2 linked regions of the Bombyx mori genome follow. The protein of the gene in region 2 purifies or fractionates together with the protein of the main gene of each other region. This does not show direct contact. Links are inferred from orthologs where the notes say so. Each region holds a gene or a part of one and is shown on either strand. Other genes may lie near its edges.

Region 1 (5,857 bases), on a different chromosome or scaffold from region 2:
TTTTAAGAACTAAATCCAAAACAATAATGAAATGGTATGAACGATGAAAATGATAATGAAATCCAAGTTCCTGATCAAAAACCAAACCAAAGAATGTAATATTGAAATCGATATACAATAAATGAAGCTGTAACAACAATAACGCAGTTGCTTAGCAACGGAATAACTTTTAAAGAATATGTGAAGTGACTCAGGTCTAATGAGAAAGACGTGTTGTTTGAGTGAGTGTTTTGTCTGTGGTTGGAATTTCTTTTTGTGTATTTCAAGCTATCAGGGTTCAAATTTGGCAGGCAGATATTTTGACGTGCGTCTATCGCAAAGAAGGAATAATTTTATTTAAAAAAATGAAGCCCGTCAAATTTATAAATCTTCACAATTACTGAGCCGTACGGCTCCCACCATCTTGCAAATTTCTTATGCGAAATTGCTATACACTAACATAAATAAATAAATAAATAATTTGACCGCATTCGGTATACCTACATAAGCCGGGCAAACCGAAAAATGAAACCGCTAGTTACCGTCCGATTAGTCTCCTCCCAGCGATAGGCATAATATACGAACGACTCCTTCGGAAACACCTGTGGGGCTTCATTACCGAAAAGAAAATATTAATGGCCGAGCAGGTTGGGTTCCGCGCCAAATACTCGTGCATATAACAAGTACACCGCCTGACGGAGCACATCTTAATAGGGCTAAATAGGCGGAAACCAGTCCCGACCGGAGCTCTCTTCTTCGATATCGCAAAGGCGTTCGGTAAAGTCTGGCATAACGGTTTCATTTACAAACTGTATAACATGGGAGTGCCAGACAGATTCGTGCTCATCATACAAGACTTGTCGAACCGTTCGTTTCAATATCGAGTAGAGGGAACTCGCTCCGCCCCTGTCATCTGACGGCCGGAGTTCCACAAGGCTCCGCGCTCTCCCCGTTATTATTTAGTTTGTATATCAATGATATAGCCCGGTCTTCGGAGACCCATCTAGCGCTCTTCGCCGATGACACGGCTATCTACTACTCGTGTAGGAAGAAGTCGCTATTGCATCGGCGACTTCAGATCGCAGTAACCACCATGGGACAGTGGTTCTGGAAGTGGCGCATCGACATCAACCCCACGAAAAGCACAGCGATGCTCTTCAAAAGGGGCGCCCTCCGAATACCAATTCGAGCAGCCCACTCCCTAATAGGCGCGTTAGCACCTCCGCCGTTAGCCCCATAGATTCTGCAAAGCACTGCTCTTGCTATTGCCAGTGTTAGCAACACTCCCGGTTAGAGCCCCGTGAGCTCACCTACACGTCAAGGAGAAGCTGAAATAGCCTCTCAATGCTATCAGCAGAGGTACAAAAAAAAAAAAAAATGACCGCATTTAATTAGGTATCGTACACAAATAAAAAAATATATATTCTAATTTGAACTCTCTACTACCTTCTCTCGAACGAGACCACGGGCCATCTATCAGAAATTGTTCGATATGATCCTCCGCCTCCTTTTCCACCACAGAGTAGAGTTCATCCATACCATATGGAACCGCTGCATTTATCGACAGTGCGTTTCTTTTTTTACCACGGAACATCCGACTATGGAATGAACTCTCCTTCACGGTGTTTCCCCAGCGTTATGACATTTCTTTCTTCAAACGAGTCTTTTTTTTTTAATTGCTTAGATGGTTGGACGAGCTCACCTGGTGTTAAGTGGTTACTGGAGCCCATAGACATCTACGAAGTAAATGCGCCACCCACCTTGAGATATCAGTTTTAAGGTCTCAGTATAGTTACAACGGCTGCCCCGCCCTTCAAACCGAAACGCATTACTGCTTCACGGCAGAAATAGGCAGGGCGGTGGTACAAGACGATTTGTAACAGTGCCAAGCTTCATTAGAAGTCAAAAAATGTATGTCATTTGAAAAATTTCAAGCTAAACTAAAAAATAGCCTTAGAGGAGTTTTAATGGACACAATAAAAAAATATTTAGCTTTAATTTTATTGACTCATTATTTTTACAATTCCAAACAGTGTTAATTGAAATCTAATACACAAAATGTTGTAATATAAAATTTTATAAGATAGTTCATGGGAAACCATCATCATCTTCCTCTGCCATTTCTTTGGCAAGTTCCAGATCTTGCTGTTCTCTTTCACGGCGTTCCTCAGCACTTTCCAATTCTTTTCCGTATGATTTTGGTGGATATCTCATTGCCTTAACACTTTGGTTGTGTAAATCTAGGCAAAATGAAATCCGCTGATGAAAGGCTAACTGTGGCTCTCTAGTACAATAAATATCTGAGCTTTCTTTATTACTCATGTAGCCCTTTACAGGGTCTAATGTTGCCTCAATCACTCCATCTCTGATTGCCTTAGCAACAATGAATTCTGCATCTTCAGCAGAGTCAAGCCCTAATTTGCGAGCTATATCTTTTGGTGATATGCGAGAATAGGACAATCCAATTGAACGAATAGCAGTCTTAATAACATTCTGTCTAAGACGAAGGATCAATGTAAATGTGTGATCATTTCGGAACTGTGGCCCATAATTCTCCAATACTTCACCAAATCTTTGCAAGTTTCCAAGACGCACAGCTTGGGTGAGCTGGAAATATGGAGCTAATGCTTTACGAAGTGGAGCTTGACGGAAAATCACTCGCTCCGGTATATCACCTAATAGCAATTCCACTACAATTGCTAATTTTTGGACCGTTTGACGGAATCCAACAGCAGCTGTTTGGGGAGCTTTTCTTAAAGCCTGCACTAGATGTTTGTGTGCATCACTGTATTCTAACCTTGCTGCTTTTATTCTGCCAAGGTAGTACAGAAATCTTGCCCACTCATTGTTGCTGGCATTTTCAGGAAAAACTGACTTACTTACTAATTTATCGGCTTGATCATACAAAGAGTAGTGCAAGTAATTTCTCAACAGGCAGTTGATAATAACAGCTTGACCTTCATAGTCATTTCTCAATGTTGATGTACGAAGTCGGGCATGTAAGAGACCTCTGATCACATCCAACTTGTTAGTTAGTTCAAACACTCTTGAGTGATAAAAATAGCATTTTGCAGCAATCAAGTCAAGGGTTCTTCGATTTTGAGTAGTAACTTTTGTCATTAGTTGCTGAGAGCATTCTGTGGCTTCTTCAAGTTTGTTTGTATCCAACAAACGTAACAGCACAAGGAGATGCAAATATGTATCCACTTCGGGCACTGGCTGCTTAGGGGCGCTTCGTGACCTGGGAGCTTCTATTTCTACGGCACCAGGGAGAGGATTTTCCACAAAAGATAGTATGGTTTCTTTCTCAGCACTAGCGGGATAAATCTGATTGATAATAGCTCGCAGAACGTTACCGTTTAACTTCCTGCGAGTGCTCGGCAGTGCTCTAAGTACACGCATAGCGAATCTAGGTTCTTTCGAAGTAACAGCTTTATCGATTTGTCTGATGTGTTCTCGTAGATCCTGAACAGCTAGTACATCAGCATCTTTCTTTACATCCGCTGTCTCAACGTCACTAACAGCTGCAGGACTTTCCACATTTTTCATTTCAACATCTTCCACTGGAGCCATTGTATATATAACTGATATTTTTCAAAACAATGTGAATATGAGAATGAACGAAATCAATCTACAAATTTTAGTAAAATGCAATCTGTCACAATAATCAAAAATGCCGAGTAACTTTGTCTTTTTTTTTTTGGAGGATATGGCCTGATACCTTTAGGCCAAGTCTTGAGTGAGTAACTTTGTCGTAATGTTGGTAATGTTGCCAGCTGGAATGTGAAATAATAAGGTCAGCAGAAACGGTTAAAAATATGCATCAATTGCTACTGTACAACCATCTGACCTCTTTTCTTTTCAATTTTTTTTATGATTTGTTTTTATTTACTGTAATAAATGGGATACAAAATGGTTTTCCTCATTGTGGATATGAGCTCGTCTGTTCTATTACATCGAACCGTTCAAGTATCTTTTTAGAGAACTAGAATAGAAACAATATTTTTTGGAATATTACACATTTTAATAATTCTACAATTTATTTTTCTTCTACTTTACGCCCCGAAGAATAATTATGGTGCGACGAATAGTTCGTTACCAACATGGTAAACAGTCAACATCGCCCAAAACACGTCATTTCGGATCCTCCAGATCCGCTATCGGTGCTTTTATGTACCACATGTACCGGTCACCGTTCTCGTTGAACTCGCTGCTTGAACACGAAGGATTCGGCGAGTCAATTAACCAACAGTACGGCCCACTAAGTTTTTCGCTAGGTCTTCTTAGTGGGTCGCATTTCCGATCCGGTGGTAGAGTCTGCGTAGCTTGCTTTTGCTAGGGCTAGTGTTAGCAACGACACCAGGGTAGAGCCCTGTGAGTTCACCTACTCGTTCGGTGAATCTAGTATGACCCCTCGAGGTCACTAGAATATATCTATTTTGGCATTATTCTGGCAATATCTTATTCTGGCATTTTTTTAGTTGCTTACCAGCTACAAAAAGTGGCAACCGGTGGAGACTTAGTGTAAAAAAAATTAAAATGGATGCGCATGAGTTCGAGCTGAAAACCATTATTTAATAAATACAAAACACTGTGACAGTTACAGTTGAACCACAATTGAATTGATTGTGTTTTAAATACTTATCAAATAGTAATAGATTAAATAGTAACAAAAACAGTGTGGAGTTAACATGCAAACATCCCTACCATCTGAACAAGTTTTCGCCCCATTATTGAAAGTTAACGCTTACATAACCAATGCTTTTTCAATCATTGATAACACTCGATATTCAGTCAAATATAGTACAAGTATGAACCAAGTTCGGAGGTGTGTTAGTTAGTCTATTGAACACGTCTATAAGCGTATTAAGAATTATATATGTACCTATTAAATATGTTGATAGCTTTTTGTTAACTTTTGATTCATAAAATAGGGGAAATAGTAATTTTATACTTACATTTTGAAAGTACTCACACTTAATATTATTAAAAATTATTGAAATAGTTTATTATAAAATCTTATTATAAAATCTTATCCTCTTCAATGGAACATAATCATTATTATCGTATTGTATCATACAATCAGTTAATATGGTCCTCATTTGTACCGAATTGATGAACTATTATAAAAGTATATTTTTTTGAATATATTTGACCTATAACCATATTAACCATTATGTAAATAAAATATTATATTAAAAAACTATGTTGAATTATACTCAAAGTAATCTACAAAAAGTATTAAACCTTTTCATTTTCATAAATATAGTCGATAAATTTAGAACAAATCGATTTCAGGGTTTTTTCACATATCAATACTGATTATTTTTCAGCAACCAAAAAATAAGTGATTATTTTACATAAAATGCACCCTAAAGCTTAGAGGTTGACGTAGATATTTCAATAATGGAAACATCCGTTAAACGGCATGCTTTTGTCTTTGCCTTTTCTATTCCATAGATTAAAGACAAGACAAAACTACTAGCATTGCTCGTAGTTGCTTAACCAATACTCTACTTGGAAAATACTGATAAAATTATATTTTACTAATGTTACAGTTGAATATATTTGGATTACAACCATCACAATATTGTGGAGATTGCGTGTGCCAAAAATTATAGAAAAAGGACGCGCTACGGCTGCAGGAGACCGGTTGATTCTTCACATAAAATTTCAATGTGTTCTGGAAATGGTTTGCAAAGAGGACGTGGTATCATGGTTTAAAGAATTGGAAAGCTATAAACGCATAGATGCAATGTGTACACTGTTAAATATGTGTTTACCATTCGAATTGCGCTTCATCGGCACGTACCTAGAAGAGCTCGGTAAGCGGGACTTTCAGGAGTTGCGTGGTGCCGAACTGAGAGCTAACAATCCT
Region 2 (4,547 bases):
GAAAAATCTAAAAAAATTATTGCATAATCTAAACACTTTAAAAAATTTATTCCCGTTGGAATTTTTTATAAAAACATATTTTTCAATATTCTAGACGATTGTTAATTAAGAAAAAAATTTCCAATTTCCACCATCCTTCTAAACTAAAAAAAATGTTTAAATAATTACCTTAAAATTATTTCGCTTCGTGGACCTCTTCTTATAAATATATTAAACAAGATTGCGTCGTCTAAGTTATGAAATTGTTAATATTTTGTTAATAATAATTTTTTTAAGTTAACACAAAAGAAAAAGCACAATTATGTTGTAAAGAAAATTTTTTTCTTTATTTATTATTATATTTTCGTTTTTATGTCAATAAAAGACATCTTTTAATTGAAAAATTTAATTAATTATTTTTTTGCAATTATATTGTAAAGAAAAAAATTTTCTTTACAATATAATTGTGCTTTTTCTTTTTTGTTAACTTAAAAAAATTATTATTAACAAAATATTAACAATTTCATAACTTAGACGACGCAATCTTGTTTAATATATTTATAAGAAGAGGTCCACGAAGCGAAATAATTTTAAGGTAATTATTTAAACATTTTTTTTAGTTTAGAAGGATGGTGGAAATTGGAAAAAAAATTCTTAATTAACAATCGTCTAGAATATTGAAAAATATGTTTTTATAAAAAATTCCAACGGGAATAAATTTTTTAAAGTGTTTAGATTATGCAATAATTTTTTAGATTTTTCAATTAACTTTAAGTACTTGAAAAAAATTTTTTTAAGTGACGTCCTCGCTTTCGAGGCCGTGCGCGCAACCTAACAATGGCGCGCGGCGGGTTATTTTCAGCGTTAAATTAAAATTATAAATAATGGAGCTACAGTTCCGGGAGTTGGAACTTTTTTTTACTAAATTTCCTCCTCTTTAAGGATCTTTTTTTCAAATTTCGAAAATATTTATAGTTTACGGACAATAAGCAATAAACGAAACGCTATTTTTTGAAGGTGTTTAATTGTTAATAACTTTTGGAATTTTTTATGTGCTAATTCAATTTTTTAGCACAATGGTCTAGACATTATTCCGAATCGAATGAGCTAAACCACATAATTTTAGCAGTAGTATGTCGAATTAACACCATTTTTAACTTGTCGACTAGACTATGAGGTGCAGCCCACCTGTTGTAGAGTATGGACATTATTACATGAACGTTGCCAGTTATCTTGAACCATGGTGACTCGATGCAGTGTCGCCAAATGTTTGAAAACTTTCCCCCTAAAGCAATTTCAAAAACCACTAAATTCAAAACAAAACTCCCCAAAGGACGGACCAAGTATTTATTCATTACAATATAAGTAAAGAAATAAATAAAAATAATAAATAATTAGTTAATAACAATAGTTATTTAGTATTTTTAAGTATTTTTCTATATAAAATTTTATCCCTAAAAATATCCCCAAAAAATTTCACCCCCTAAAAAAATCCCTGTATAGATTTTTCCCCCCTAAATTTGGGGGGAAAACCCCGGAGTTGGCATCACTGATTCGATGTTTCTGTTTCATTTTAAAACTTCATTTTATTGTACTTGAATTCTGTGCTAAAAGCTTTTTAAACATCATTAGCCCCACCTCTTGTCCGTTGACGGTACTAAATATACTACAAATTAATAGTCAACAGCTTTTGTTGCAAGTTTAAATTCATTGATAAACGAACACTCTTAGCACATATTAGATCTTACTTGTGGTATGTCGTATTATAGTCTCGCATCAGTAGGCTCAGTTCAAAGCCGCGAACCAGCGATTCGTATCTTTTGAAGGGTGAAACAGCTGTTATATTTACTTATTTAATTTAGAACACGATAGGTCTCAAAGTAAGCGACGGTGTTCACATTGTCACGATGTCTATGGACTCCGGTAGCCACTTAGCGCTCGTAGTTCGTTATACTCTGGGTGCTAGGAGACTGCTTCCGAAAACGAAGACAGACGATAGTACTATTGACACCTTTGGTAATGGGACGAAAATAAAATAGATCATGATTTAAAAAAATCATATTTTTTTGCAATTGCAATGTTTGAAGTGAAACTTTAGAAGAATCGTTGTGATTTCAAACTCAATGAAACGAAAAAATAAGTCCATAGAGACACAAACACATAAATGTATAGGATTCAGCCGGCGAGAGAATGAGATAGAACACATTAGACGTTCTCGGTCTCCTCTTTGTGCGATTCTTCGTAACATCCCCATTATCGTCTACTAAACATTGTCCATATGTATGCACCTGTGTAGTGGGATAGTCACAGTGTGACTTGCACACACTTTTTTATTGTGAACGCCGCCTCTACTTCTTTTATGGCGCCTGCAAATTTTATACGTACAAAGTTGTAAATTTTGCGTCGCGCCGGTGTGCGTGTTAAAGAAACGCCGCGCTCGAGCGTTCGTTGATCCGAGCATCAGCTGTTTTTAATTTTGTGTTTCACTGCTGGTTTTCTTTTCAAATAAAGTAATGTATTTTTTATGAAACTATCGTTTCATTTAGCTGTATTAACATAATGGAGGGTAAATAATGCTGATAAAACGTTTTAAAAATATGTTTTTTTTAAAAATCAGGTTCGACTTTTTTTCTGTCTCATCATCTATGTTAGGTGTCATTAGTACTATCGTTACCTCGATCGATACCTCGTTTTCGGAAGCGGTCTCTTAACACCCAGTGCATATAGCAATACAATAAAAATACCGTATTATATTTTGAAGGTTTTCGATTTCCACGAGCTGGAAAAGTCGACAGAATACGATGGCGGCTACGCGTCCGACTCTAAAATCGTACAGGACTTTTGGGGCATCGTGCACAGCTTGCCGCTGGAGGACAAGCGGAAGCTGCTTCAGTTCACGACCGGGTCGGACCGGGTGCCCGTGGGCGGGCTGTGCAACTTGAACTTTGTGATCGCGAGGAACGGCCCGGACTGCGACCGGCTTCCCACCGCGCACACTTGCTTCAATGTCCTACTGCTACCCGAGTACGACACTAGAGACAAACTACAGGACAGACTCTTGAAAGCCATCAACTACTCGAAGGGATTCGGTTTGCATTGAAGCTATGCTATACGACGACGACGACGCAACGCAACGCGGAACTAACTCAACAAAATTAGCATAATATTATAGTCGAGGAGTCGCCACGATGATGTTTCTGTATCATTGATGATTAAAGTTTGTTTTATTTAAGCGTAAAGTTTTTTTTTAATTACTCTATTTATTATGTCTGGCTGGGCAGCGTTCGGGAAGCTTCGTCAGGTCTTTTCGTCGCCCAAACCACAATGTCTGAAGACAAAGGTCTACAATCAGTGCGTCCTACCCGTGCTTACCTACGGAGCCGAAACGTGGACACTGACTGTGCGACTAGTCCACCAACTAAAAGTTACTCAGCGAGCCCATAGCTCGCGAGCTATGCTTGGTTTATCATTGCGAGACCGAATACGCAATGAGGTCATTCGGGCAAAAACCAAAGTGATCGATATAGCTTGCAGAGTTAGTAAGCTGAAGTGGCAGTGGGCTGGTCACATATGTCGCAGTACCGATAACCGTTGGGGTAGACGTGTTCTGGAGTGGAGACCGCTAACCGGTAAACGTAGTGTAGGACGCCCTCCTGCTAGACGGAGCGACGACCTACGCAAGGCAGCTGGCAGTAACTGGATGCGTAGAACCGAAGATCGGGTTCAGTGGCGAGCTTTGTACTGCCGCAGGTTAATGATGATGATGATGATATTTATTAATTACTAGCTGTACCCGCCCGCTTCGCTGGGCATTTAAAATTAACTTTATTATTTCTCACCCCCCACAAAAATTCTCATCATTAACGCCCCTGCAACTGGTGTAGGGAGTCCAACACTCATATAAATATTAGCCTATACATTAAGTACATGTATTTTCGACATGGATATAATAGCCGGCAAACTTCTTGAGCATTTGTTGACGTAGTGGGGGTAAGTTTGCGCATGGTACACTCACATGCAAAAACATTATTTACTCTGCGTCATAATGCAATTAAATTATTAAAATCAACATATGTATTTATTTATATATTTATTAGAACATCAACAAAAAATATAGGTTAATAATTATAATAATTTAATCTTGGGGTAAAATAGATATTCCTTCTATTAAGTCAAAACTAGAGCTGTTGCCAGGTCTTCGTTCAGTTGAAGCGAAGCTGGTATTTGTAATTTTTTTTCGTTATCATAATCTTGACCATTATCATCATCACTGTTTTCATCACCCGAGTCGCCATCATCGTGATAAGTCGACATAGGGCTCATCGGTGTAGTTTACGACTCGGTCGGTTCGATCTTCTTTTTTGTCTATAATTAATTATTTTTTGAAGATATTCGATTCGTAGTAATCGAATGTTACTTTTTTCAATTACCAGCTTCCGATTATTTTCTGTTTTTTTTTTTCCATCTGAAGCCTAGCTCTTTCATAATTCGTCGTAAACTTCATTCCGAGCCATTAAAATGTATATCTTCTTTAAAATTTTCGAAGCCTTTCTACGGTACGGAGTTTC

Evidence for each region. Proteins that work in one complex are often made in the same cells at the same time.
Region 1: the proteins of ubiquitin-protein ligase E3A (region 2) and probable 26S proteasome non-ATPase regulatory subunit 3 purify together in Homo sapiens (affinity purification with mass spectrometry, with the first as the bait; 4 studies listed by BioGRID). This does not show direct contact. The link is inferred for Bombyx mori from reciprocal best matches to the Homo sapiens genes UBE3A and PSMD3.

The regions. Positions count from the first base shown.
Region 1 is NC_085110.1:10,832,873-10,838,729, reverse strand, and holds probable 26S proteasome non-ATPase regulatory subunit 3, read right to left. Parts: upstream 3,760-5,857; 5' UTR 3,553-3,759; coding exon 2,068-3,552; 3' UTR 1,967-2,067; downstream 1-1,966. Other genes in the region: protein enabled homolog, read left to right, coding at 5,669-5,857.
Region 2 is NC_085119.1:5,211,013-5,215,559, reverse strand, and holds the end of ubiquitin-protein ligase E3A, read left to right. Parts: intron 1-2,740; coding exon 2,741-3,079; 3' UTR 3,080-3,218; downstream 3,219-4,547. UniProt on the Homo sapiens protein: E3 ubiquitin-protein ligase which accepts ubiquitin from an E2 ubiquitin-conjugating enzyme in the form of a thioester and transfers it to its substrates.